Styela clava: one gene and its partners. The protein of the gene in region 4 interacts with the protein of the main gene of each other region in a pairwise test. Links are inferred from orthologs where the notes say so. Each region holds a gene or a part of one and is shown on either strand. Other genes may lie near its edges.

The links.
Region 1: the proteins of TRAF3-interacting protein 1-like (region 4) and structural maintenance of chromosomes protein 3-like interact in a two-hybrid assay, tested with the Homo sapiens proteins (2 studies listed by BioGRID and IntAct). The link is inferred for Styela clava from reciprocal best matches to the Homo sapiens genes TRAF3IP1 and SMC3.
Region 2: the proteins of TRAF3-interacting protein 1-like (region 4) and FGFR1 oncogene partner 2 homolog interact in a two-hybrid assay, tested with the Homo sapiens proteins (2 studies listed by IntAct). The link is inferred for Styela clava from reciprocal best matches to the Homo sapiens genes TRAF3IP1 and FGFR1OP2.
Region 3: the proteins of TRAF3-interacting protein 1-like (region 4) and uncharacterized protein LOC120335522 interact in a two-hybrid assay, tested with the Homo sapiens proteins (2 studies listed by BioGRID and IntAct). The link is inferred for Styela clava from reciprocal best matches to the Homo sapiens genes TRAF3IP1 and GOLGA4.

What each region holds. Positions count from the first base shown.
Region 1 is NC_135259.1:4,477,022-4,484,219, reverse strand, and holds the start of structural maintenance of chromosomes protein 3-like, read left to right. Parts: upstream 1-4,182; 5' UTR 4,183-7,198. UniProt on the Homo sapiens protein: Central component of cohesin, a complex required for chromosome cohesion during the cell cycle. The cohesin complex may form a large proteinaceous ring within which sister chromatids can be trapped.
Region 2 is NC_135254.1:4,415,727-4,423,211, reverse strand, and holds the start of FGFR1 oncogene partner 2 homolog, read right to left. Parts: upstream 3,015-7,485; 5' UTR 2,827-3,014; coding exon 2,767-2,826; intron 1,740-2,766; coding exon 1,598-1,739; intron 713-1,597; coding exon 568-712; intron 1-567. Other genes in the region: proton-transporting V-type ATPase complex assembly regulator TMEM9-like, read left to right, coding at 5,403-6,071; uncharacterized protein LOC120332696, read left to right, coding at 7,293-7,420. UniProt on the Homo sapiens protein: May be involved in wound healing pathway.
Region 3 is NC_135251.1:16,301,500-16,309,336, forward strand, and holds the start of uncharacterized protein LOC120335522, read left to right. Parts: upstream 1-4,817; 5' UTR 4,818-4,866; coding exon 4,867-7,837. Other genes in the region: bifunctional peptidase and arginyl-hydroxylase JMJD5-like, read right to left, coding at 1,291-2,565; nudC domain-containing protein 2-like, read right to left, coding at 2,528-3,010. UniProt on the Homo sapiens protein: Involved in vesicular trafficking at the Golgi apparatus level. May play a role in delivery of transport vesicles containing GPI-linked proteins from the trans-Golgi network through its interaction with MACF1. Involved in endosome-to-Golgi trafficking.
Region 4 is NC_135261.1:18,105,758-18,113,524, forward strand, and holds the start of TRAF3-interacting protein 1-like, read right to left. Parts: upstream 3,006-7,767; 5' UTR 2,968-3,005; coding exon 2,845-2,967; intron 2,134-2,844; coding exon 2,065-2,133; intron 1,378-2,064; coding exon 1,216-1,377; intron 673-1,215; coding exon 560-672; intron 1-559.

The DNA of each region.
Region 1 (7,198 bases), on a different chromosome or scaffold from region 4:
ATTTACCAGCTTATCGCAAACACGACCCGCCTCGAGCAAAGACCTCGGTCGACTGCACGACTTCTCTCTACTTTCGGGCCCGCATCGGCGAAGCGAAAAAAGAACCTCGGAGAAAAATAACGTCTGTATGTCACAGACGCGGGGGCAGAAAATTCCTAGTTTTGAAAATCGACTAATTAATTTAGCATTGTTATATCTTCGCTATACAATGAGAAGTATTTGAAGGGAGTCAATTGTTGAATTGTTATAATTGATTGACAAAATGCAGCAATCTCGGCTAGTCTGCACCCTTGCAATAATGAATTGAAGCTGAAAAGTTTTGGAAAACAATTAACCATAATGGCAAATATCATTTTATGAATCTTATTCAACAAATAGATTACCATTTCAAGCAAATTGAACTTTAGTATTTTTGCTAATTTTGTCCTCGATATTATTTTGTCGTCCTCTCAAAAAAATATAGAAACATTATACCAGAGATTTTGGACTAGCTTCTTGTTCATTCGCTTTGCGTTATGCTGTATCCATAAAAGTTATCCATTATAGTGTCCAAGCTAGCAGTCCTTTAAACTCCATAGAATACAATTTAGTGATCTCTATAGCCTCATTACAATTAAAACTGATATTTTAAAAATGAGTCCACGTTTGAGCGATTCTAAAACTATAACTGGAATATTAACACAGCGTCCTCTGAGCAACTCCACTCTCAAATGTGGCAAATGTTCGTTTGTAGTTAGTTACTATATTTTACCAATCGGTGCTAAACCATCGGAATCGGTTCCTGTGAAATGCGGAAGCTGCAAGTACTATCAGAGCTGCTAAATGCGGAGCATGAGGACATCGCACAAATAACAAACGCGGCGGGAGAGTCAAAGTAAATGGTGATAAAACTGGTGCAACGGATGTTGATTTGCATGCCTGCAACTGGGTTCAATTAGCAAGCTTACGATAAGCTGTTATTCTTCTCAAATCCCGAATGGATAACAAAATTTCCAGCGATAAATGGCTAACTAGATTTTCTATATTGGGGAATCGACTATTTTGATCTATGCGATACATACTGTTTCAAACTTACCCTATTTCATATAGTTGCTTAGCGAAATATAGGTAAAGAGCTGTTTATCTACAGTGTATATCTGAAACGCTTTACACTGATAGTATCTTAACTATGCAACATATAAGAACATTACATCGCCGCTTTTTCAATAACTTCCAACGTTCGCCAGGTTCCTTCTTTATTTGTTATGGATATATGGTCATCAACTAATGCATATACCTGCGTATATTGTCACTGTCAATAAAGCTATTTAGTAGTACGTAGTTATGGAATAACTCCGTAAAAATGAATCCAAAAAAATTCTTTATTTTTCGACACCGCCAGTTTCATATATTACCCTTCCACATACATACACTGCCGCCGAGTAAATCATTCTTTTCGGAAAATGGCTAAAATGCGTGACAAAAATGTGAACTACATGGCGATAGTTGTTGTTTCGTTTCCAGCGCAACGCAGGGTAAGTCCTGAGTCATACATCGTCAAAAGCATTAAAATTGGTCAAATTATGTGTGTGAATTTAAAGGCCCAATATGCTACTCAAACAAAAGAAAACAGAATAATAATGGCCAAAAGTACGCCAGCCCAAAATTTTGGTGGGGGCCAAATATATATTGTATTTTCAAGCAATGATATTGGGTCTGAGACATCACTTCTTTAAGCAGAAAAAGACCACATTCGATCGTTAAGGAAAATAACATTCAACAACTTAGCTGGCTTTTTGTAAATACAATATTTTTTCCCGAACAACTTTTTCTTTGATACAACAAATATTTATGAGGCAATCTGAACCAGTAAAAACCCGTCCTTCGCTTTCCGCCAACTATGCTCGCCACAACCCGATTGATCTTCTCCTTAGTGATCCTTTCACGATGACAATAAAGGACACACAAATCGAAAAGGGGATTGGACGTCATTGATGGGCGCAGCCATGTCTTGACCCGTTTCCTACAGGAAAAAGAACGCTCAGCATTAACGGTTGTTGCTGGTAGCGTCATACCGATCTATATTGCCGTGTGCACGTTTGAATAATCTCGACTGCTCAGAAGAAGCTCCTTCGTCGTTGACGTCGGAGCTCAAAGAAGATCTCCATAGTCTCACTTCATTCAGGAGGTTATCCAACAAATACAAAAGCTCAATCTCATCCACCCGGACTGGTTCGTTCGGAGGAAGAATTGATAGTGAAGCAAAAAACGAGGGGTTGCCAATGAAGCGTTCCCGGATAGAGCAGCTCAAGCCGTCGACGTATGGAAGATATACGGAACGTTGGGACTGGGACGCTGAATCAGCACAGATGTTGTCGTGATAAACTTGTATCTCGACTACTCTGGGCATTATCAGATCTTGGTAATCTTGGAAATTTGGGAGGGGCCATGGCCCCTCTCGCCCCCTGCTGGCTACGCCTATGATAATGGCTTTCATTGTCAAGACTGTTATGTTCTATGCTTCGAGTAACATACCTTCGCGTGGACATTTGGGAAATGGAAATTTTGCAAAGCATCTTCAATTTCGTATCGACACCGGGGGTGGAGATTTGATACAAAAGGAGATTCTCGGGGTAGCAAGCAATATGATAATGCAAGATATAATTATGGAGAACGTTTGTGTCCGTAAGGGACAGAACAACTAAGCATTGTTTTAAGATATGTGAAAGGTAGCGAACTGTTTTCTATCATATAGAACCATTCTGATAGAACCATTCGCGCGCATACTCCACGCGGTCGGAGTCAGTGTGCGTCAGTAAAGAGCCTCACATCCTCCGTTTAGAGCGTTCTCACTTAAGAACGCAATGAATCGGACATTGCATCGAATATTTACAAAGAAACTTGTGAAATAGCTGACTTGAAAGATTTTACAATACCCAGAGTAGTTGAAGTACAAGTTCAACGCGACAACGTCTGTGCTGATTCAGCCTCCCAGTATTCCCAACGTTCCGTATACCTTCCATATGCCGACGGCTTCAGCTGCTCTATTCGGGAACGCTCCATTGACAATCCTTCACTTTTTCCTTGATATCAATTTTTCACCCGAATAAACCAGTCCAGGTGGATGAGATTGAGCGTCTGTATTTTCTGGATAACCTCCAGAATGAAGTGAGACTGTGGTGAGCTTCTTTGAGCTCCGACATAAATGACGAATGTTTGGAGGAGATTCGTCTGAGCTCTCGAGATTATCCAAGCGTGCACACAACAATACAGATCGTTATGACGCTACTAGCAAGTAGCAGCAACTGTTGAGGCTGAGCGTTTTTTCTTGTATAAACGGGCGTAGACATAGCTGTATTTGTCACCGTGAAATGGTCACTGAGTGGAATATCGGGTTTTGTCGACTGTCGAGCATTTTAGTGTGATTGCAGCATTAAAAATTAGCCCCAAAGCTGCGACCAACTAAGCTAAAATTTTCACATCAAAAATTTTGATATGGTGAAGTATAACAAACATTTAATTGGGGTAATCATCCACTGCGGGAGCAGTTCGCTTCAATGGTTACGACTTTACTCGCACCCAAAGTACATACCTCCCGAATACCTCCAATTTTAGTTTAAATTTTTGAGATAAAAACGACATCTGTCGTTTAATATCGGAAATAGAACATCGGTAACCAAAATTTTTTTTTAATAACATAAGTGAAATATTTTACTGTTAACAACTCGTTTTACCATCATTACAATAAGCGTTATATACAGCGGTGGGATTCAAATGTTTTGTCAGACGGTTCCATCACAAAAGTCATATTTTCCAGCCGGTTCTCAAAAATCGGTGTCTCAGGTAAGATGCAAAAATCCATTGACAGTAACCAGTAATGCTAACCGGTTCGCTGATCTCAGAAAATTCCGTGAGACGGTTCTGTAGAATCGGTGCAAACCGGCTGAATCCCACCACTGGTTATATATCCATAAATGTTACAATTATAACAGTAGAGTAATATTATTAACATTTGAATAAAAGATGTAAAGAGACATTTTTGAAAGGATAGTCATCTATTTATTTTAGTCTACACATCTATTTATAAATTTATATACATACCAACAACCCCACAACCAAAGCGACGTGAAATTTTGAAATAACAAATCCATTGTTGCGTGAAGAGGGTCAGGGGTCATATTATGACGCAAAACGTAAAATGGCGGCAACTCGGGTTCAGTCGCTTTTCCTTCGCTTTCGTTTCTGATTTGTTTTTGTTTTGCCTATTATTTGCAGACAATCAGACATTTGAAAGACACTAATTTGAAATGGAGTTAGCTTGGACAATAGTTTTTACCGTCGAGCGCAAAATTTTCAAAACTGCATGATGATACAGATACGTCACAGTGATAGGTGCATGAATTTTCAGCTTCTTGACGTTGAGGAGTTTCAGAGATGGAGGTCCAGTGACTGATTGCAGAACCGACTTACACGCATACACTACCCTGCTACCGGTACCGTGATTGCTACTGTCTGACTGTGCTACCAAATGCTGAAATGAATAGCCTATTATTGTTTTTGGTGACAAATTTAATTTTTGTAAAATGTTTCTCTTTGTTAAATTAAAACTAATGTTGAAAATTTTTTTTCTGCAAAAATGCCATTCATGATAAACTTTGAAACTCCCAAATGCTATGGTAATTTTTTGGGTCTGGTATAGTTTAGTACCACATGCATTTCTAGTTGGCCTGGCTCAACAATTTTTGCATAGGCTTTGCATAGGCTACCGTATGTCAATCCTAACCCCCACTTGACTACGTCACCGAAAAATTAGGTCATCTCGACATCACAGTGGCGTAATAAGGCCCACCAAAGTATGCGAATGGTCGTCCAAAACGCGCAGACGATCACCCGAAATCGAGCAAGCTATTTTTCTCGTTTTCTTGTCACAACGATCACGATACTGCGATAGGACTAGGAGACCAGACTGAATTCCATGGCAGGTGCACGCCCGAGGTTGCTAGCGCTCCGCATAAATTCATGCAAGCAAATTCAATTTTGCACGCCGAGAATTTGCAATTGCTCACCAATGAAAATTGGTTTAATTGGTTTTTAAATTAATAATCCAGTAATATAAAGATGCCAACAAATTGTAGCTCCACAATTGTCGATTTCATACCTGCATACAGACATACTAGCTTGCAAGATTTGGCCTGGTCAGAAAATGCCTAAGCAAAAAAGATCATGTTTTTCATAATTGCTTGGCGGTATGGCGCATCGTGTTGATTGATAGGGACTTCGTGAGAATAGTTATGGGCGAATAGATCCCCAGACTCCTCGCAGACGCTGGTCAGTCACGGCTCTGATTCGGCTTATTTTTTATCCAATGATTTTACGCAAAAACACTCCCAAAATTGATGTCAAAAAATAAAAATAATGTTTGTGGGTCAAATGTCAAACGTTCATTTTTTAGACATTTGAGTAAGTAATGACAAAGTATATAAATAGTAATACAATACAATACCGGTAATTTTAGGCGGATATATTGAACAGTATCTAAAGTCAAAGTCAGTTGCACGCGGGCGCAGTTGCTTTGCACGTCGTGAGCTATAATTGCACGCCGGGAATTCTGATTTGCACGTGGGAATTTCTGATTGCACGCCCGATTTCTCGTTCAAAATGGCCATGAAATCCAGACTCGATAGGAGAGAGATCGCCGGCTTTACCGAGTTCGTTATCGCGACGCAGATGCCATTTCCGGGCGATCGTAATTATAATTTGGCAAGCCCTATGACGTAATGGTGATGTCGTAGTGACGTGATTTTTGGATGGCATAGTCAGGTGGTGGTTAGGAATAACATATGCAAAATTCGTTATGCTACGCCTACTGGAAGTACTTGTTGTACTAAACTATACTAGACCCAATATTTTTCTTTGGGTAAATCAGATTATTTTTTTCTGAGTAATTTTTAGATTTTGTCCCCTTGAAGGCCCAGACTGGCTTGTTAAAGGAAGGAGGGGGGGGGAGGTTGCATTCATTGATATACGAATATATGGAATTGCGCAAAAAAACTACAAAGAAGCGCAATCTAAAAACGTCATAGTTGACTCCCTCGGTGAAGAAATAGTCCGATTTACAGAAGGAGAATTATTTCTATCGTCTGACCGTGGCATTTGAGAGTTTTTAGCAAAAAATGGCAATTTTGGTCATGTGCCAGTGTGCCCGCCACGATTATATTAGATTATAATCGAGGCAAGCATGGCACCATATGACGCATCTGCCGTTGTGCCAGACACCCCTCGTTTGTAAGACACATGGAGTGTTTGTTTTATTGAACCAAATGACGGGACATTCTTGGAATTTGGAAAGTGTGCAATGAAAACAAACACTTCATTTGTCTCTGAAACAAGAGTGTCTGCCCCGACACGAAGGCAGATGCATCAGATCGTGCCATGCTTGGAATGCCCCAGTAAATATTTAATTGACTGTCTCTACAGACTGTCTCGTAAATGAGGGGTTTGCTCCTACTGTTATAATCAATGTCTTTCAATATAGGCGATATCCTTGAAATCATAGAACTTTGCTGTACGGAATGGATAAGTTATTGCTAAATAAATAGTGAAATCATTCGAAATAAATTTACTCTAGAATTCGAGAGTTTCTAGCTAAAACAGTCCTGCAGTCAGGAAACGAACTTTCAATTGTAGAATTGAATCGAATTGATTTATATTATAATCGCAACAAACATGGCACGATGTTACGAATCGGCAGTGGTGCCAGATTCTTTCAGTGCTTTTTATTAATTTCCGTAAACACTGATTTTTAATGTTAGTAATATAAAAATTGTTGTTCTTTTTATTTCAAAACTTTAAAATTTCTAGACAAGGTTATATTAAATTGTTTCATTTTTTTATGTTTCATTTTAAAATACATTTTTTAATAATTTTGTAGGGTTTATTATTTTTATATCTGTCAAGTTAAAAAGCTGGTTTATTCTGCTATTTTTTTACAGTAATTATTGAATAAATAAAGTAATAATTGAATATATTGACATAGGAGTAAAAGTTGACAAGATGAAACTTTTTGCACATGTTTTCAATAATGCATTTTTTCCATTTTTACATGCTTACTCAATATGAATAATATTGTAATATAACTCGGTTCATGGACTACTTTCTGTATAATGCTCCATACTGGACATGATTTGGGTATACATTAGAAGTATTATTTACCTTTTTC
Region 2 (7,485 bases), on a different chromosome or scaffold from region 4:
CCTCAATCTTTTTTCTTTCATGGCCCATTTTTATTGCCCAAATATTCTTGTGGCCCATTAACTTTTTTATTGCAAGGGGAAAACTGGAAGTGAAATCAAGATCTTTCTGCGAAAACTGGCACTTCAACGTTTTTTATTTGAATTGGAATTACCACCTATTAGCAGTAAACAGCATTGTCATTGATTGTAGCTAAAATCAAAACTAACTATTGTAATATAAATAAAACTAGCAATTTTTATCAGTTCTGTGGCCCAACTCAAAATCCACTGGTTTATAACCAGTGGTTCTAGTCACAGTTGATTGATTTTGATATTTTAAGCCAATTGAAAGTTCATTATTATTTTTCAACATTAGGATAGAAAATAGCCTAAATATTCATCCACGAGAAGGGAAAAGACAATAAGACAGCTTGATCATATGGCTAACCATGTCCTCAGGTATGGGATTAGTTTTTGTGGGCATGGACTTGAGTATAAATGGAATAAATGTATTTATCAGCATTAAATGTATTTAATCAGACTTTCCTCTCACTGAGATTATGAAATACATTGACAAGATCCACATACTTTTGGTGCTTAGTGAACTTCATCATCTGCTGTCTGTACTTAGTCATGATAAGTTCCAATGCGTTCTGGTGGTCGGTCAAACTTTGTCGCAATTCATCATTCTCATGTTGTAGGGACCGAATTGCATTATTTTCTTGCTGAATACCTTGAAGATAAAAGTGTGAATTTAGCAAACATAATTTTTTTTTTATCAGAAGTATTATTTGAGATCCACATTTGTTTAAAACAGTGGTTTCCAACCTGGAGACGGGGCGGGTTTTCAAGGGGGTCGCGAAGGTCTTGCCAAACAGTAGAAAATAGTACAAAGCTCTAGGTTAAATATTGCCAATAGAACGAGAAGAAGTCTGGAATTGACTCTCGTTTGCCTCCGAAAGAGGCAAGCTGCGCGAGTTGTATATGGCATGTTAACCATTGTGACGCCACACGAACTCGTCTGCATTTCCGCGCCGTGACGCGGTAAACACACAGGCTTCGAAGCAATGCTGTGGAACAGGATTTCAATACCAAGGGGTCTACTGCAGGGTAGGCTTGTAGTTTGTGAAGATTATCATACATCTTGAGATTAGCTTTGTCAAAAACTCAAACCACGAATTACGCAGTTGGCTACGCGGTTTCAATGCCAGCCATCACAGCTGCAGCTTGATGAAAAATTAAATTACACAATATTCACTTTACCGCTTATTTTATTGGAAAGTACAGAAAGTGAGGCAGAGGGTCGCGAGGTATGTGTAAACCACCAAAGGAGGTTGCAAACCAAAAAAAGTTGGGAACCACTGGTTTATACATTTTTACAATATTTACATTTTTTTCTATTCCAAACTAATAATAACTTCCACCACTTCCTTATAACCACTAATTTAAGATAATTAATTCTTAATTACCAATTTCGAATTGAAATTTCAGTACAAGATAAAAAAACGATCACGTCATGTCCGGAAATATCATACAGGCAAGCAAAGATAATCATAAAAAATATCACATTAAAAACATGAGCAAAGCTAGCACTGGTTCTTTTAAAAATTTGTCTTACCTAAGACTAAAGTAGACCTTGGTCTGTGTCCAGCAACTTTGTTCAGTTCAATCAAATTTTCTTGATATGTGTTTCTCGCTTCCATCTCTTTCTTGAGAGTTGAAGCCTGTTCGGCAAGACTTTCAGCAGCGCTGTCATGATCCTGGGATAATAGATGAAAATAAAAGAATAATCTTTCGATAGTGCATGCTAGAAAGCACTGAAAATTTGTGACCTCCAGAAGCATGTTGGCTCCGCCATCTTGGTTCACATACTACAGGAGTACCAAAATTTGTTTCAATTGTGTGGCCCGCATAAACCCTGGCTGATCGAAATATCACTTAGTTGGTTCATAATCCAGGGTGCAATAACTTTCAAAAGATTTTTAGATGCTCGTGGCTTTCAAACTAATAAAATTATACTTGGGTCTGACCAGGAGAGAAGATTAGAAATCACTAATTTAACTAGTACATTCACAGGGCCTTTTAGTGGTTTAGAATGATTCGAAAGACTATGACATCACAATTTTCCCAACAGAGAAGGAATTTGATATATTAGTAAACATACATACATACATATACAGACATACCAATATTTTTCACTATTAGTCTACTATAATACTGATCAACGTAAGTTAATTTATAGTTCAACATTACAGGTACTCGCACTTCTGCTCTTGGACATTGGAGTAAGCAGTAACAAACCAGCCTTTACATGAACTGACATACAATAGCCACAAGTCAGTATTCTAATATCTGAAGAAACAGAACGGTTCATGTGACCGCTGGTCTGTTACAGCTTACCACACAATCAAGTCCATGCATCTGAAAACTAATAACTGGTTGAATGAGCTTCATATCCAATATGGCCCGCGAACCAGACAAGAGACTGTGGTTCGCCATGTAATTAAGCTTTCTTAGGACTAGGATAGACTGATAGAATTTACATTTTTATCTCGGGGGGGGGGGAGAAGAAAGACAATAGCATGGCTTAATCATATGGCAAACCACAGTCTCTCGTCCGGTTACCAGTCCATGTCGGGTATGGGATTAGTCAGCCAGTTATTGACTTTCCCTTCCCAGGGATAAATATCAAAACCTGAATCAGTAAAAAAGCCGGAAGTCTGCCTCAAGAGGATTGAATTATATGTAGAAGCCTTTATTAACTGTCAAAACATTGAAATACTCTACCTTCAATCTTGTAACAAGATATTTAGCGTCCGCAAGCAACGACTCGATGGTGATATTCATTTTTGCAAACTAGTCGATGTACAAGGAAACTAGACTGATTGCTCTTCAAAAAATACCCTTTTTTCTTTTTCAATATGCCAGATTTTAAATTTACTTTTTGCAAAAAATCGTTTTCTATGTTGATAACTTAAAACAAGATATATGATATAACTAAAGATATTTTGCTCTAAAATACAGTTATCCAAAAAAATGTATTGAAAATGCATTTTTAGCAATAAAATAAGAAAAATGACGGTCTGAATGTAGGACATCAGGCATAAATTTGGTAACTTGAGGAAACAAAGAATGTATCTCTATCGCCACTAACGGTATTATTCCCACAAATCGTTCATGGTGAACTGACCTTTTAAAAGTTTTCACGAGTGGGTGAATGTTTCAGGTATTTTTGTTTATGATAACATTTATTATAAATTTGCAATAAAACAATATAGACGGCTTCTTCCCCAGTTAACCACATTATCAACCACTTTCTTCTCGAGGCGCCAGCAGCCGATCGAAATATAAGGACTTTGATCGAAATGATAAAAACATTTTGGAAGATTTGCGCGAATTGAGGTACTTTTGCGCGAATACAGTTTGGGATCAAACGGGGCTTTGAGAAGATATTTGGAATAGCCTGTTTTTTTTTATACACGGGCTTTGTCCTTTTTTATTTTAAACAAGGCTCTTAGGAGGCTGACACTGCGATACAAAGAGATACTGATTCATAATTACCAGAATGAATCGGGTGCAGAATGGAGAACAGTTACCGGTACAGTTCAGTTACATTTCACAGCATACCGTACCCGGCACCGGTACGGTACCGGTAGCGTTCGACTGGAGGTTATTATTTTATGTAGGCTACCGGTATCATTCTCAAAAACAGCCGCACAAGAATGCAAGCTCTAAATCATTACCGGTACATTTTTGTAAATAAGAAGTTGAATGCCTGTTACCTTCGGGAGTGCAGACGGTTGTAATTGTACATGTCTGCTTTAACGATTCTGTCTGTTGTAGCAAGTCTATGCATGCCACTTTCTCACATACTGTACATAGCCTAGTTCATTTTCTCATGATTAACTTTTGTTTTGTAAAAAAATTTCACTGATCAATCAATTTTTTCTGTAATCACGCATAAGAATTAATTTGAAAGATATCGCTCGATTTTACATCGTGTCTTGATTTTATTGTTTTCTTTTGACTGTTTTTGGTGGACGGGCACGCACTCGTCTGTTTTTTAACTTTTCTATTAAGTTATGCCCAGGTCCTCTGCATTTTGTTTGTCTGTTTGTTGTTGTTTTGTTTCTTTCAGAGTGACCAAAAAAAAATTGATTGTATCTCCGGGCCAGACTGGATTCCATGGCAGGTGCACGCCCGAGGGCGCTAGCGCTCCGCAAAAATGCACGCGAGCGAAATCAATTTTGCACGCCGAAAATTTGCAATTGCTCACCAATGTAAATCGGTTTAAATAGTTTTAAAATCAATAATCCAGTAATATAAAGATGCCAAAATATTATAACTCCACAATTGTCGACAAATACCAGCTTGCAAGATTTGGTCTGATCGAAATATTGCGAAGCAAAAAGACCATGGACCTTTCCCCAACCTTTGACCCGCGAAAAATTCCTCTCATTGTTACGTCCTTTTTTGCATCTTGCTGATTGGCCAATGTCACGAAGTAAACAAGGAAGTCGATGCTCGGGGAAAGGTTCATATCGTGTTGAATGATAGGAAATAGGAATCCCGTGAGAATAGTTATGGACGAAAAGATCGCCTCCGCACCAATGGCCAAGTACGGCTCTGATTCAGCGTATTTTTCATACAATAATTTTACACGAATGTACTGAACAGTACCGGTATCTAAAGTTGCTCAAACACTCCCAAAATTAGTGACAAAGTATGAAAATAATGTTTGGGGTCAAAAATCAAACTTCCATTTTGCTCTAATTTGACGTATTATTTATCCATTAATTCTACGTAAAAACACTACCAAAATTAATGACAAAGTATGTCCATTTTGCTCTGGTTCAACGTATTTTTTATCCAATAATTTTACGCGGATGTACTGAACAGTACCGGTATCCAAAGTCGCACAAACACTCTCAAAATTAGCGACAAACTGTAGAAATAATGTTTGGGGTCAAAGGTCAAACGTCCATTTTTTCTCTGATTCAACGTATTTTTTTATCCGATACCGGTAATTTTACGCGGATGTATTGAGAGGTATCTGATGTCAAAGTCAGTTGCACGCGAGTGCAGTTGTTTTGCACGTCGTGAGCTATAATTGCACGCCAGGAATTCTTATTTGCACGCGGGAATTTCTGATTGCACGCCCGATTTCTCGTTCAAAAAGGCCATGAAATCCAGACTGGTCTCCGGGTATAACATGTAAATCTTATCCTATTTCTAAAGCTTCTGCGTCTAAAAATTAATAAAAACTATATAAATTTGCAAATGGTGTTGTAATTCAGTAATATCATACCTCTTTGTATATAATTTTGATTTGTTTGTTACCTAATTAGGCACATAGACACATTTTTACTTGGTGAAAATGAATACCGGATTCTTGATTCTTTATTTAGTATCATTGCTTGACAATGTTTTCATCTTCTCAGAATATTTTAGATATAGTATTAAACGGACAAATAATCATGTTGCCTACTATTAAGGGGTCGTTACTAACTTTATTTTTACTCACTATTTGTAACCTTTTATGTGAGATATCGGCAGAAGCAAAATTCAATGACATTCGGTGTCGCTGCACTTGCAAACAACTTATTGCTCTCAATATTCCGAGAAAGGTTTATACAAAAGATGCAGTTCAAGAAAAATGTAACTGTTTAGATGTTGTCGTTCCGGAATTGAATTGGGCAAATATATCTGGCGTAATGCTGGAACAATACTGCCTCTTGTGTCAGTGTAAATATGAAGTACGAAGCACTAAGACTATGGAGGTTGTTGTCCTGATGTATCTGATTTTAATTGGAATATTATTCTCATATTTGGCAATTGTTGGATTAGTTGATTTTATCGGTAAAAAGCGGAATCGAGAACAAGGAGTTGAAACTCAGAATTTAGTCAGTGAAGATCGACCCTCGACTTCATCTGAAACTGCCGAAAATATGCGCTTTCGCAGCCATCGGAGGCAGCATAGTTCTACAAGTTCTATGATGATGAATCGACTAACAAACGCACAAGTAGAGTGGAAGCGACAACTAAAAAGCCAACGGGATAAAGTCTTTGAGAGTAGAAATATTCTGCAATAATGGGAAAAGATTGCACGAATTCCTCGCCGATGAAAGGATGAATTGATTGGATTTTCTTTGCCTCTACAACACAAAAATAATCCAAACTACTTGAGATTGATATTAGAAAGTGGTTCCTCATACTCATTTTTCTATTTTTCACAATATGTGTATGCAAGTCTAGGTAATAAAGGCTTGTGTTAGAATCCAAATCAATTAGCCGACACCTCTTTGTTACCCCCTATTTTTTGCATCGGACTGTTTAGTAATTCTCGACCCGGTGACGAGACTATAGACTCACTTACTATCATATGATTAAGCCCTCTTTTTCTGGACTAAAATGAAGATCATATTAAAGCAATTCTATAAAACCTCAGTCTTAAGGTCTAGTTTACTTTTGTTACGTAGGAAGCCAATTCGGGACAACCAACATGCTCTTTTTATACTGCATCGAATTCTTGGCCATATTGAATACTTTATTTAGAAACCTAAAACTTCTCTAGGTTTTTTACTAGGAACTTAGACTTGCAGTTTTTTTGTGATTCCTGTGCACAAGTTATTCGTGATTAATTTTTTTTGTTTTTGTTTTGTGCAATAGTCAACTTATTTTAGCAGCAAGTTTTAGTTTGTGTTTCAGTCAAGATAGTTATCCAAGATTATACCAATAAACAGTATTTCCTGGTTATTAAGTCGCTTCTCTCGACCCAATTTTTTGACCTGATTTTAGGGGGGGCTGTCTTATTGGGCGGCTATTATTTTATTTTTTCTTGCTTCTTGGAGTCTTTTTTTACGCACATAAAATTATTAGTGCATATTGTTGCTAACTAACCAACAGAGAAGCAATTTCACTGTCCGTTTTTATTGGAGCTTATATGGAAAACAAACACTTAAAAATCATTATGTGAGTAACAAGTGTCAGTGGCTGTCTGCTACTCTTCTATCTCTAATCTAATTTCTCGTGAGGGCAATCTTGTTTTGATTAAACCTGAATTGAAAGCTATTTCACCTTTGGGAATCAATGATGCTTGAATAGTTTCTGGGTCATTACTTCCTGGGGTCAAATCTTGTGTAAAAAAAATAAAACATAATATATTTTATATTTGAACCATGCAGAAAATACTTTATCAGTGTATTCAAAATTTCTCTCTCTGTTGTGATGTGATATTATAGCAATTTATTACTTATTTAGATCAAAGTAATATCTAAATTTTCTAATCTATCTTTTGGTATCGCATTGGAAATATGGATTTGAAAGACGTAAAGTTTGGAGATGAAATGAAGGATGAGTTTCTCTTGGATAAATCATGTGCTTTTGTGAACCATGGATCTTATGGGCCAACTCCTAAGAGAGTGGTGGAACAGAAAGTCAAGTAAGTTCTCATTTTTGAATATTGGGATTTATCAGTTATTAGTGTTCACTTTTTCATAATGCTAA
Region 3 (7,837 bases), on a different chromosome or scaffold from region 4:
TTCCATTTTTTCACATTTTAATTGCTTTCGCATTGCATTTTTGTTTCTTCCAACTTTTATTTCGGTAACATGCAACACCAAATTAAATGACAAGAAAATGGAATTTTCTATTCGATGGATTGATATGTGTTTGACAATAGTTAAAAGTGATCTATTTACCTAGCAAAATGTTTTTATACCAATGCACTATGACTATATGAATCTGAATATCTACAAAAATGCTACCGGAACAATATGAAAAATTCATGACTACATTTTTTCTATCCTTAATTTTACAAAATTCTATTCAGGCATTCCCCATTATACTGAGAGATATTTGGAGCTTTATAATGTTCATAATTTTGGCAGATTCATTGAAATTTTCGAAGCCACCACCAGATAAGGAGTTTACATCCCTGAGAGCTGTAAATAATTTTCTGCATGCACTGTGTAATGGAGCAAAAGTAATATATTTTATTTGTTATAGTGATCTTCATAAACTAGTTGTTTAAATAAAACAAAATCACAGATTGTGAATAGTGGTTATCTCTTCTGCAAAGGAATTAGAATGGTATGATAATTGCTAAGGTTACGACTTCTTCTTCATTTATAAACAGGCTTGTAGTGCGTTAGAGGTAGCCTCGTCATGACGTTTTTGCTGGTATTTCACTGCAAACTGTTTTCTTAAATGTTTTCTTAAAGAAGTATATGCCAAGTCCACGGGTCTCGGTATCCTGAATCTCCTTGTTACATATTCACAGGCAACTAAATAGTACAATTGTTGAGATTATATTTATTAGTAGTTCAACATGTATGATAAAATAGGCACAATGTATTGTTAAAAAGGTGGCATATTGTTAAAGGAAAACTGCATTCATCACTCTATAAAACCAGACAGTAACTACTGACAAGAAAGAACAATAACACAATTTGACGGGAAATTCTATCATTCATTAGTATTCAACACGTTCAGTATCCATATGAAGTCTCAGACGAATTTGAAAGTCAAATTGATATCGTTGACCTTGCATATATTGATTTTTTTTAAATTGGTACATTACATGCGGTGCTTCAAAATGGCCACTGCTACCTGTGACAGGTAAATGTTGCTACATATACCATTGAATCTGTGTGCAAAATAATTCATAATATTTTGTTTGTGCTAGATATGCCTTTGTTAATTTGGAAAATGAATATAAATATTCAAGCCAAATTGACATAATGGGTGTAGGAGTGATGCCACTAAACCCCAGTCAGAATCCAGAAGCATAATATTCAATATAATCTACAAACAAGTTTTATTTATAAACATTAATTCCACCAGAAACTTACAGAAAAGCTTTTATCTAGCGATCTAACATAATGCCAGTAACCAGGAGGTATATAAAGCATCTGGCCAGGCAGTAAAATACATTCTTCCCTATGATTACGATCCATTTCAGTAAAAAGTGGAAAATTTGTATCATCTGGCTTTTCAACATCAACTTTTGATGTGTTGTTTAACATTCCCTCATGGGGGTAGAGAGCATTCTCATGTGAAGGATGATATAACCGTACATATTTACGTCCCGCAACTTGACATAACAGATTGTGTTTTTTGTCATAATGACATGGTGAAACAGTGCCACCAGGTCCAAACCAAGCATTTATTTCGGTATCAGTATCAGGGTCCCAATCTGGCATTTTTGAAATACAGCAATAATCTGGAATACATATGTCATTTCTAAGCAGTGGGATTTGATCAAAAAGTGTATGTTGTGCTAAATACGCTTTTGATGTACAATCATCATTAAATATATATTTTTGAATGAAATTTGAAATAGTCATTAATTTTTGACCCCAACTTTCATCAGTGTATTTAGCACCAAGTTCTACAGGTACAAGTCGGTGTCCTGCAATATTGTTAAGATACTGAAAATTCCATTTAGCCATAGCAGGCCAATGATCAATGCAATCGCTAAGCACCATGGGAAGAGCATGGTTCATAAAATCTTGGAAAGAAATTAAAGATGGATTTGATAAGACTTTTATTGGATTATGTACTTCTGGATCTAGTTCATAATTTTCAGTGTTTTGGGTCTCAATATATTTCGGTTGGGCAGGTTTAAAAATTTTAATAATTTTGTGTAATATACCATTCATTACATTATGGCCCATTAGCAAGCCCATGTCAGAGACTCTACAAATTTCTATCAAATCGTCATCTGTTGTGGCATTATAGCCCAAACACGAAGCTTTGAAGACACAAGCAAATGAATATAGTTTTTGCCACACAAGCGGGACATTTTTCCAATGAAAAGAATTCAACTTTTCCCATGTTAAGTCTAGTATCATTTCTGCATTGTCAAGACATTTTTCAATATTGTTTTCATATAATAATGTGCAACATTCTTTTAAAATGAATAATGAGACATTGTCAATCTTATTGCAACATACATGGAGACATTGTACTATTGTATGCTCCATTTCTGAGTCTGTGCTAGGTAATGTTTGCTTAAGTTCAGATTTGCGAGTAGTAAAATGTAGTATTGCTTTCGGAGATTCAAGGTTAATACTCTTTTCTGAGGTCAAGAGTTGGTCCACCATCTTCATAATTCCCTGTGATCTCAGCGTTACTGAAATCGAATCCTGGATTTTCGAGTTCAAATCTTTCGAGAGTCAAATTTTTTTGCATTTGATCTTTCGTTAAAGGGTCTACAGCAAATTCTCCACCCTCAAATAATGATGGCCAAAAACAATTTTCTTTCTTGCGACTGCGTTTCACAAGCAATATTCGGATTAATTTTTGATCTTCCACACTCCAAGTTGATTCGTCCACCAATATTCCTTGCGGTAGGGGGCTGTTAAATAATTCCTTCCCCCTCACAACGCAAGATAAATGCTGGGGTTCAATCACCACATTTACTTCTTTCCCCCTTGTCCCTTTCTCAACATCAACAACAACAACCACGTCCTGCACAGTTTGATACCAATTACCCCAGGGAGTCTTGCAACATGCAACACCGCTTCTTTCGTCGAAATCGCTATTCATTTCAAAATGTAACTCCAAGTAAACGGAAAATTCTACGAGAATAAACCGCTCAACTAGTAGCAATCGCAACCATGTAACAAATGCTTTTCACCGAATAGGCTATGATGAACTTATGCTAAAATCATGGTTAATTAACCATGCTAAAATCAATCCTCCACACAAGAGTTCCAGTGGTGGATAAGATTCTATGCGGAACGTCACCAATCTTCCGTAATTAGTGGGCAAGAATTTCCATTTTTCTAAATGTATTTTACAATCTGAGATTTCATTTTTCTTGTATTAACAATTGTGTAAATATATTTTTTGGCTACTACACGTTTTCTTGGATTGCATGATGTAACTACGGTATTTATTTCCGCTCAATCAATGACTATTACATGCTACTGAAAATTTGCATCGTAATTTCACTGCGACGTGTTAATGTTATCGTCATCTTGAATGTGTTATAAGTTAGATCTAGGCTATATGATATCTCGTTTTCTCTGTTTTACTGAAATTGTTTTCGATTTATATTTAGTCTACTGGGTACCGGTAAGCTGGCAAGGGCGACAGGTTCGCCATATGGTTAAGCCGTCTTATCGACTTTCCTCTTCCCGGGATAAATATGCAAATCTGCTCAGTTCAGCAGTTGGATGGCATTTTAGATTCATATGATAGGCGCTCCATAGTTATGTAATGTACGGTAACTATATAATATAAGTAGGCCTACTGTTGTCATGAATCTCATAATTTACTGTGATAAATATTTTTTCAACGTGCAATAGTGAAATAGATGGACAGATTTGACAATTTTTGATACTCCAAACTCCAAAGTTTACTCTTTGTGCAGTCAATAATTTATTGCTAGAATAGAAATGGTTTCTGGATTATCGTAATTTAGTTCTGTAGTTTTGTTCCATCTTTGTCAAAAGTTCGTTAATAGGCTAATTCATATCTGCTTTAATTTATATATGTCTATTCCTGTACTGTTGTAGAAATATTTTTGTATAGAGTTGCAATGCAGTTCTAATTAGTTCTCATTTAAATCCTTGTCCGAATTTATGTTTATATCTCATAAAAGCGCCATGTGTACTCTTCTTTTTCTTCAATCAAATTAACTTAATAAATAAATTATATTACTGTTGTATCGTTACCTCCCAGTCATACTGTGAACTTTTGTTCCACTTATTTTGTTATTGAAATTTTTTATATTATGTGTTTTGTTTGACGAAATAATAAATTCTCTCTTTTTTTATCACTGACTTATACTCCTGTGCTTACTCATCTGTAATTATTTACAGACTTTTTGATCCACAGACGTTTCGCCCCCTCAGACCATTCCAATCACTAGATGGCATATGGCGATTTGAGTTATGACTTTGACATGGCAGTTTTTTTAAATTATATTAAATAAACACTCAAATATTTTAAGATTTAAGTGATTAAGGATATTTATCCACCACATTAGTGCCATATATGGGCAACCTGTGGCTTCTGTACAACCTTAACCCTGTAACCCCCTACCCATGCCCAAATTTCCTATGAATCCACATGTATTTTTAGGCAACTCCAATGCCAATGTATTATTAACAAAAAGATTAACTCAAACTGTCTTATTTGGCAGAAAAGTCTGTTGGGTGAAAAGTCTGTTTATCCCCTCACATATAATCACCTCCCATGGGATTTGAACCTGTTCAGGGTAATCAGAGATGCGATGGCTTACCATGATGCACCGACTGCCGAGCTGATTCTATTTTAATCCTAGTGGATAGGCAGATTTTGCATATGTTAACTATTGCATCGGGAAATCCTCAAGTCCTACAATTAATTACAACTGATTTCCCAAATTAATATTTGCAGATAATTTGGTTGTAATCATGTTTAAAAACTTGAAACAGAAAGTATCTACTGATCAAAAAGTTCGAACTCCACAGTCTGCCAATCGGGGTGATGCTTCAAGCACACCCACTGGTCGTACTGGAACATCTAGATTGCCACGACCATCCAATTCAGCGCCACCCAGGCGATCCAATTCTGAGAGTTTGAATGGTGCCAATGGTGCAGCTACTAAACAAAATAATGAATCCATGGAATCACCAGATATTGTACAACAGGTGGGAAATATATCAGGTGATGTTTCTCCCAATCCTTCAAATCATGGAGAAACGGATCAAGCACAAAAAAGTGCTCAGATAGCTACTGAAGCTGAGAAAAAAGTTCCATTTTTCAAGAGACTAGAATTTTTGACTCCTCTTAAAGATCAAGTTGCAAATAAACTTTCGGAAAGTAAGGAATCAATCAGTTCTCTCGTTGACGAAGTTCGTGGCAATGTAACAGGTTCTTCCAATGAACGATCTAAACCGGATATTGTTGCACAAACTAACGATCGTCGGCGAAGTGATTCCATTTCAGATACAGAAGAAATATCAATGAATCGGAATGCTATTGATGTAAGTGCAATTCCCAAAGAACAACTATTTGCAAAAGTAATGAGACTGGAGAAAACTCTTCTTAAATATAGAGAAAGATATGCAGAACTTGCTTCTAATTTTCGTGAGGCGAAACAAGAAAGAGAAAAGTTGCAATCAGTTATGCAACAGACCCAAGATAAAAATCTACGCAGAATTCAGGAACTCAAAGAAGCCGCAGCGTTGGATTTGAAAGCCAAAATGCATCTCGAAGAGGAGTTTCGAGTTTCTCTGGAAGAAAAAGATCAAATGATACAAGTGCTTCATACTCAAGTTGCAATTCTTAAAGATGATCCGCAGAAGTCTCCACCACCAGTACAAACTGAAACTGCTCAAGGCCAGGGAGATGATTCAAAGCTTCAAAAAAGGGTCAAAACCTTAGAAGAACAACTCAAATTTGCTAAAGATACTTGTGAAGGTCTAAGAAGCCAAGGTGATGCTTTACAAGAACAACTTAGTGAGCGATTAGAAGAATTAGAAAACCTGAAAGATTCGAACGTTGCGGAAAAGTCGAAACTTATCAAACAATTGCGTGAAGCAAAAAACGTTATTGAGAAAATTGAAGAGGACAAAGTCACTGCTGTTGCAGAGGCCAAACGACAAATGCATGAGATTCTTGAAGGTAAAGATATCGAAGTAGAATCCTTACATCAACAAGTCAAGAAACTGCAAATTGATCTTGATGAATTTAAAATGAAGAAAGAGCAACGGGAAAATTCTTTGTTGGAGGAACTTCAAAAGGCAGTTACTATTGGTAGAACAGCAGAAGCTCAAAGAGCTGATGCTTTATTGAAAACTGAAACTATACAGAAAGAAATGGAAGGCAGAATTACAAAGATTGAAGAAGAATTTGATGCGGAAAGAAAAACTTATGTTTCTGAGGTTTCACATGCAAAAGCTGATAATCTTGATATTAATGAGAAACTTGAAAATGTAATGAAAAAACACAAAAGTGATTTAGAGGCTCATACAAAAATGCATGAAGTTGCATTGCAAGAACAAGCAAAGAAATATAAACTGGAATTGGATGAAAAAGAGAATCAAATGAGATTAGCAATTGAGGAGAGAGAGCTGAATAAAATGGCTGCAGTCTCACAACAAGACACTGAAGCTCAGAATTTGTTGAAACAACTAGATACAGAGTTGGAGAATGTTCGTCAAAAAGTGGAAGAGCTTGAAAAGGCAAGAGTGGATGAGGCCAACAAACATGAAGAGGAAATTACCATTCTAAAAGACAATTTTCAAAAGGCGAGTGAAGAACATAAATTCGAACTTGACAGCCTTAAAAAATATCATGATGATCATATGACTTCGAAGGCTCAAGAGTTTTTAGAAAAATTCACAAATCAAAAGAAAAAGTTTGAAAACAAACTTCAAACAAAAGAATTGACATGGACTGAAAAGTTAGCAGAAGCTGAGAAATCATACTTACAAGAAGTTGACGATTTGAAAACACAAGTAAATGAACAAGGTAAAGAGAGGAACGAACTTTTTCAGCAACAAGCAGAGAAGGTTTCCCAACTCGAAAAAGAAGTCACTCTGTTGAATTGTGATAGGGAAGCCTTAAGTATCAAATTTTCGCAAATAGAATCTAAACTTTTTGAAAGAGATACACAATTGAAGGATTCTTTAAACGAATTAGAAGAAATCAAAAACAGTGCAACTAAAGAAAAAGAAGATTTGAATTCGAATATTGAAGCAAAAGATAACATAATTAAAGAACTAAACAGTAAAATGGAAAACTTGCAGCAGGACTTTTCACAGAAAGAACAAGAAAGCTTACAGCAGAATGAAGTTTCTCATGGAGAACTTGAAACGTTGCAGGAAAATCTGAAAAATTTACAATCTCAGAAACAGGAACTTGAACAAGCTTGCAATGCTGCTGAAGAGAAATTGAAACAAAGAGAACAGACAATGAAAAAACATGTCTTGGATATGGAGGAAAGCCATAAATCTGCAATCGGTGATTTATCATCACAGTTAGATAAAGAAAAACAGGAATCTGTGGTGAAAATTGCTACTTTAGAAAAAGAGAAATTGGATCTTCAGAAATTACAAGAAGAAACAAATAAGAAATTTCTTGAAGCTGGTGGAAGATTAAAAGCACTTGCCCAAAAATTTAAAGCCACTGTTAAAGAAAACCAGACGACTGTGACAGAGAAAGAATCTATGATTGAGAAGTCTAAAACGGAATTAAATGAAATCAAAATAAAATTAGAACAACTGGAAGGACAAAATAGAAAAATGGTTGAAAATCATGAAATGCGATTGAAAACAATGGAGTCTGAATGGGAAAACAAACTGAAAAATGAATTAGAAGGCTTGAAGGAGAAATCTGAAAAAGAATATGATGCGTTAAAAGAATCAATGATAAACACTC
Region 4 (7,767 bases):
GTGGCTCGTGTCACATTCGGAGAGTAATCAAAAAATAGCATTTCGAATTGTTTTGTAATAAAATTAATCAGAAAAAAATCTTTTTACATATTGTTACACCACTAATGTCACTGAATTGACTAGTGTTATGGCTAGTTGAGGCAACTAGCGAAGTTGAATGATGTGCTTGACAGTCTAAATTATTATCTGGCTTTCTATCTTTTTGGTCGGGAATACATGCTAACAATAGAAAACTAAAAATCTAATGCGGATTCTATTAGCCTTGGATGGCAATGTCTGATAACTATGTGTTTGCACAATAAAAGCGTCTGTTTTGTATTGCACTGTTCACCTAATCCTGGCACTATTGAGGCCTGCGAGCAATGCAAAAATGATTTTGTGGCCCGCGGAGCTGACAACCTTAGACCACCCTGTTCTATGGCATTGCGTCAAAGCATCTGTAGACCATTTACTTTAAAGCATGTTTACAAAATATGAGTGTTTATTGAAGGTCCAGCAGCCACTGTTTCAAGAGTTGGTATTACAAAAAAAAAAAGCTGAAATTCATTTTAATAATAACCTGTTTTCTTTTCCTTCTTTCTTTTTTGAAGATCCAGTGGGAGGTTTCTCTTGAACTTTTGATGATGTTTTCTTACCAGTGAGGACTTGTTGAACTGCATCATCTGATGAAACCTATATTAAATTTTGAACAAAATATTTGATTCTCTTCCTAAACAAGATTCTAGTCAAGAAAACAAATACACAAAAATATCAGAAAAATTAGACTTAGAACATAGTTAGCATGTGTCTCTTTGGATTTCAAATAAAAAGTTGTGGCTAATGAGAATGACATCATTTTTTCCCCAAATAGCAAGTATATTATGGAGGTTTTGTTAGATGACAATACATTATGTATTATTCACTGTTTAATTAGCTTATGTCTCGTTTTATCTGAAGAAGTTAGGGACTATAATCTAATGGAAGCTCTCAAATATGCTTGCTATTTCATGGGGAGAGATTATGATATTCTTATTTATCTTTCAATACTATCTCGTTCAAGCATCCTTGTGGCAACAACCACTTCATATGAATCTGAAGTAGGCAATGAGAACAGACCTGCAGTTCGATACACAATTTCCTACTACCTCTAATGAGATGTTTGAAATCATGTTTCCTACAATTAGCACTTAGTAGTAAATTAAATTTCAATTATGGTACTAATGATCAACAACATACATTTTTATGAATACATTTAGCAATCGCTTGAAGTAATTCATTAGTTTTCTCAGGCTCGTGTCCTGCGACAATTTTTGATGGTCTAGCAGCTAGTTGGTCACCAGATACTATTGACACAACGTCGATAACTTTTTGAAGAAATGCCATTTTATCTTCTTTTGCCTAAACAAAGAAGAAACTGCTAGTGAAAAGTGTCCATGCATCTGTATGGAGTAAATAACATAACTATCTAAAAACTGAAGGGTAAAAGGATGAGAAGACTTGGATGGCCATGCATGGGTTATTAATGGCAACAGTGTTTTCCAATCGAGGTGAAATTTAACCCCAAAGAAAAAAATTTATGTTTTACCTGAGGAAATTTTTCTCCATAGTATTACTAATATCTTTTACTTGTGTGATATTATTATAATACATATTTTTGCCTACATTATAAACTATTCAAATAAAGCATACAAAACTCAGAGTGCAAGTTATGCAGATCACTAGTTTATAATCCATTATTGATTAAAGAACAACCGAAAACAGAACTCTGACATGTTGGGGAAATGAGCCAAGGGGAGAATGTATCAAAAAAATTTGGTACCACTGGAAGATATTTTCTTGCCCTGAACGATTACAAAAATTTGAAGGCCGTAAAAATCTCTCGCTTTCCATGTATAGGATCCCCAACAAAATAAAAATTAAAAATTTTTTGGTTAAAATTCAGAATAGGGCCTTATTTCTTTGCTTAACAGAGAGTGGCTTATTCACGGCAAGATGGTTTATCTAAACTAATAATTACTGTTTTTATTCCCATCATTTATGATGAATGCGATAAAAAATTAAATTATATCTGACTAAACAACTTACAGACACATTCTTAGAATCCATCTCTGATGAAGTAAACAGTCCATTTAAAAATCCTGTTGTTCTGATCACCTAGAAAGTTTGCATATTTGTTATAACAATAATCAACAGTACATTATTAGATATCAGCTAGTACAAACAAGACGGCGCTCCAGAAGTGTGTGTTCCAATATTGAGGTAACTAATTTTGTTCGCCTACTCTACATCAAGTTGTGTGGAGGGACTGAAACATATGGGGAGGGCCCGAACTCGTTACTGAACTAACATAAGGAAAATCGGATTAAATTATGGCCGAACCCTAACCTGGTACACACACTAATTTTAATTGTAATCATTCTGTCTTTATGACTGTATTTAGATCAGAAATCGTATTAGTCTTAAATACAGCTGAGCAGTAAAATGTGAGAATTTTTTACAAAAACTGTCATTTTCAAAACCCACTATCGAATACCCTGAACAAATCAAATGGGTTATGGACAAATATGATAAAAAATCATAATATTTTGTAAAAGTATTTTCGTTTTTTCCTTTGTGGTACTAATTGAGTAAATTATCACATTAACCATTAACAGCTTTTTTCTATTTTAAACCCAAAATATTGATGATGTTTGGCAATTATTATTTGGAATAGCCAACTATTTCATATATTGATTGATATGCCAATCCTCGCTTTTAAAGGATAGTACATGCTTAATTTAGGAGGCAAATAATTTTCATCAAAAGTCACACCATCAAGATCGTAATTTTGAGATATAACTTATTCAAAAACATTTTCATACAAACCTCTGTGAATATATCATGTAGAAATCGAAACGGTGGTTTTGAAAGCAACTTGTCCGTCAGTGGAGGTTTTTTAATAATCTTTCCGAGAGTATCTCTCGTCTTTTTCATTACTTCTTCTCCCATTTCGAGTATGATTATTCAAATTTAGTATTATTGCTCAAAATCTTTAATAAAAAAGATGTATATTGGAATATAAAGTGTATTGTATTTACAAATTTCGAAACTTACCAATTTCAGAATTTTTATGAAATTTGTTTAGAATGTTCACCAAATTGGATAGGATAGGATTTACATAATTATCCCGGGGGAGAGGAAAGGCGATAAGACGGCTTATCCATATGGCGAACCACGGCCTCTCGTCCGGTTACCATTCCAAGTCGGGTATGGGATTAGTTAGTTACACTGTCTTGTTTGTTTTCGGAAGCATGGACTTGGTGGTGGAGGAAGCCGTAACCGACCAGCGGTTACGTGAACCACCCAACGACGGCGAGGAGTCCAGCAATCCTCTCGCACATAACCATCCGAGCATGGGATTCGAACCTGCGAACCCACGCAGAGTAATTAGAGGTGCGGTGGCGAGCGTATTCCTAACGCTTAACCCGTTGAGCCACACCGCCGCGCCTGTAAATATAATAAAGTCAGACAACTACAGAACTAAGTAAGAAACAAAATGCTGAAATGCCAGTGATACTGCTGTACCGTAAAGTCGACTACCGGCACCGGTACATTAACAAAAAAAGCAAAGTTCTGATTCCTAAGTCAGAAAGATAAAGTCTGGAAATACCAGTACCGGTAAGAGGTAGTCACAGGTATTCCTGTTTCCACATTTCCTCATAATTCTTGAGTGAAAGCTGAGATAAAGCATTTAAAATCTTAATGGTCAAGACGACCACTTTCTAAGCTCTAACTAGTGCACCTCCTCCTACATTTCAAGTAATTAATTAGGCCCGAAAACAAATGAAAAGCAAACCCTGTTTCCCTTTATATCTGTCCCAAATGTGATTTTATTTGGGTTACGGTGTAAATCAAGCTGTTGTTATGTGCGTTTAGGTCACCGCTTCGAGGCGCTCTTGATTTGCGGCCATGGTGTACTCCTTCGTAGGCTTAAATTGTATACGTATAAGTAAAAGTTTATTTCGACTCCATAATCAGCAATAGACGATAAAGCAATTGATAAAAACAAAATAAATAAAACTGATTACATGGTCGGGAAAGCAAACGAAACTTCAAGCAAGGTTTAAAGCGTACATATTTTAGGTGGAGAGGTATTGATAAAAGAAGTAGTACGTCTTCGCTCACCCAAAAGTATCAAAACTAATAAACGCACGCACACACACACACACACACACACAAACATACAATCGTCGAAGCATGATAAGGTCGGGAGTGAAAAAAGCGAGACATAAAATCAATTACTCAGTAAGAAGAAAATTGGCAAACAAATAAAAAAAATGAATAAATTCTTTTCCCACACGCCAGGGATGGCCAATTCGAATAAAGTATTCGAATATCACGTTTCCGAATATCGGAATTAACGTTCATAAGAATATCGGATATTTGTGTGACGTCACACATTTTCGACGCCGCTTTCAAGACGTTTCCGTTGAATGAAAACATTCTCGATTGAAACTTGCGCGTGATTTTTCCACAAATTTGTTCCACGATAACGATGACAATTATTTTATTTTTGTACCCGCACAGAATTGTGAATCTGGTAAATACGTTCATCGGCGGCGAGTTTCTAGAGACAACGCAACTTTTTGATTGAAAAGCGGCAATTTAAAATACTGAAAATAAAACCGTAATCGATATAAGTTTTACTGAGGCCCGCGAAAATTTAAAAAACGCTTTTCTACGCAGTGAAAATCGCAAAATTTCGTGTGCCTCTGGCACACATTATGTTTGGTCGTCGTTTAGAAACATATCGTCACGAATTGAGGGCGGGATTTGCCTGAATATCCATTACTTTAAATTGCCGTCGAATAATGATACAAGGTTTGAAACGCGACTTTTTCCCGGGTTCTGAGGATGTATATAATATAATTAATCTAAAGTATATTCAATCAATTTTATTGTGATGAAATAAATTTTACTCTGAGATGTTACAGCAGATTTATGGGTTTTTCGAACGGTTTTATCTAAAAATAATCAGAGTGGCAGCATTTCGATTGAGCGGAGTCACTAATAACAAGCAGGCTACATCTAAATATTTGCCGAATTCGCAAAATAGGGATCAAAACTTTAATTAATCGGGCAGTTTACCACACGTTTCTATTTTTATGACCGCGGGTGCAATGGTATATAAGAGTGGTGAGGATTTTATTCTGTCGACGCAACCGCAGGTTAAATTGAAGACAATTAAATTAATAAAGCAAGACATTTTAAATATGCCCGAATCGGTCACGAATTCATCACTTTGCACAACAGAAAAATATGTATTCGTTGTCATATTATTTGTTGTAAAAGTTGACTCTTTTAACAGGTGGTATAATCGCGGCGATGAATATGTATTTTTAAATTCACTGCTAAACTTTATATGTATATTCATTGTATGAAACGAAATATACTCTACACTTAACAAGATTTTATTTCATTATTTGGGATTTTTCTAACGGCGATAACGAGTTGGCAAGATTGCAAAAATACGTATTAAAATTAAGTACATCAGGCAGTTTATTTCGTACTTCTAGGTCACAGATCACCAAGGACCGAATAGTAATGTTTTTTTTGACGTAAGAAGAAGAAGCCGCGAGTTACGTTGGACACATTAAATTAATATATAAAGATATTTTAGAATCTCGTAGTTGTCATGGATTGAATATTTTACGTAACAGGATGATCATTATACGCTGAAAAGACGGCTCTTTTAACGAGCGCAGAATCGCGGTGGGTGTTAAAGGCGGCAATGGGAATTTCCGATTTCGAAAATTCTGGCTGCGCGGCTGGCAGTGATGGTCATCCATCCTCTAATAATTTATTTCTAATTTCAAACACAACAATATGTTACACATAATAACAATATGATTCACATAAATTAATATACAAATATACTGGTAAGAGGTAGAATACTCTAGGCTTAAATATTAGAATTTTCGAAGGCAAAATGGATTTTCGATTGTTGTTGCTTGTTTCATTTGTCTGTATTGCCAATAAATTTTATTACTCTTAGAAAATATACACAATTATCTGAAGTAGTATTTTGTCAATAGACTTGACTATTATCGAAATATCATGGTACCAATGATAGAAAGCGTCAGACAACTCCTTGGCTATCTTTTCATATGGTCATTTGTACAGAGTGAATAATTTTAATAAACTGACTGTGTCACAAGTTGCTATTATTTTTTTATTGATAGCTATGAGCTATCAATTACTTTGTGTACATATACTGTTGGTTTGTGGCTTTATTCTGATATTTCTATTGAAGCTTATTTCCTAATTTACTGGGTTTTAATAAACTAAAACAAAAATGTGTTATTTTCAATTTTAGAATGTATCCGGAATAGCTTAGTATTCGGAAATGGCCATCCCTGCGGCCACACCAAATAATAATTGGATTGCCGAATTGGATACCGAATTAGTCAAAAAAGAGTTATATACTGTGGATAGAAAAATATTCCTCAAAAGATATCGTCAAGCTGATTATAATTGGAGTCACCTAATTCCAAATTGCCCAATCAGAATTGCCAAGTTGGATGCATGAAGAGGTGGGCTACCCCTGCTTCACTCACCAGATAGAAGCCAAAACTAACCAAATTAACGTCCAAATTATTTTAAATATTGTTAATCAATAAAAGTACCGGTAATTATAATTAAAATTAATTAGGGCGGTATGATACAGAGGTAGGAAACTTGGTTACGGGAATATATAGAATATATATTAAATGTTCAAGTAAGGTTTCTAAAGTCATGGATTGTAAACAAGCAAATTTAAGTGAGGTTGTTGATCACTACGGTCAGTTCAAATTCATCACGGTTGATTCATTTTATGTTGAATTAGCTAGCTTTTAAATTGATCATCATGACGTCCTAAAAAACGAAAAATATATCTGCGAGTACAATATTCAATGATGGCAAATAAGGAATCAATAGAAAACTACTCTAGACTTTTGAGAGGAAGTTGTTGATGTGTGTAAATTATTGATCAATGTTAATTAACTATCATTAAACTGCCAGTTGAAAAACCCGAGAAAAAGGAGATTGTAGATGGGACACAGGAGAAATTGTCCACAAACCAATTGAATTACTTATTTCTATAATAACAGAAAAGTCTTATACAATACTTCTATCGATACATGTGTCGGCATCAGAACTATTTGCAGATACCTATTATGCAAACTGTTTTGCTTCATGATGGGAACATTCGAGTTACAGTATTGCCAATATTACCATTTTTCATAGATCATGCTGACTCGTAGATGAGATGCCATGTGAGAGTTAAAACATAACAAATAGACATTTTAAGACATCATGCGACGTGATTCATTTCGTCGTGTACTTTTTGTATTATTTTTATCCACAATTTTTATGAGACTTCTGATGCTATATTCCACACTCTCTAAGACCTAAGTTGTTATAGAATCAAATTACGGTTCCAATGCATGTATGACCATATTGCATATTTATCACATCAAATTATATTGAATTTTTGTTCAGCCTTGAATCACTCATAATTATTTAGTCTGCATTTTGTGTGACATTTTCACGCCCATTACACAAATACAATACAATTGCAATATCGTCTGATATATAATTCTAGAAGACATTTAAGACTATCAATCATGCATTATTCTCTGTAATTGTTTACAATAATAACTATACTATACTATCTATCCCAATGTTTCAGTAAATATTTTCCATATATTCGGGTTATAGGCTGTTTAGGTTCAGAAGAATTCAAATTAGATTAATATATATACTATA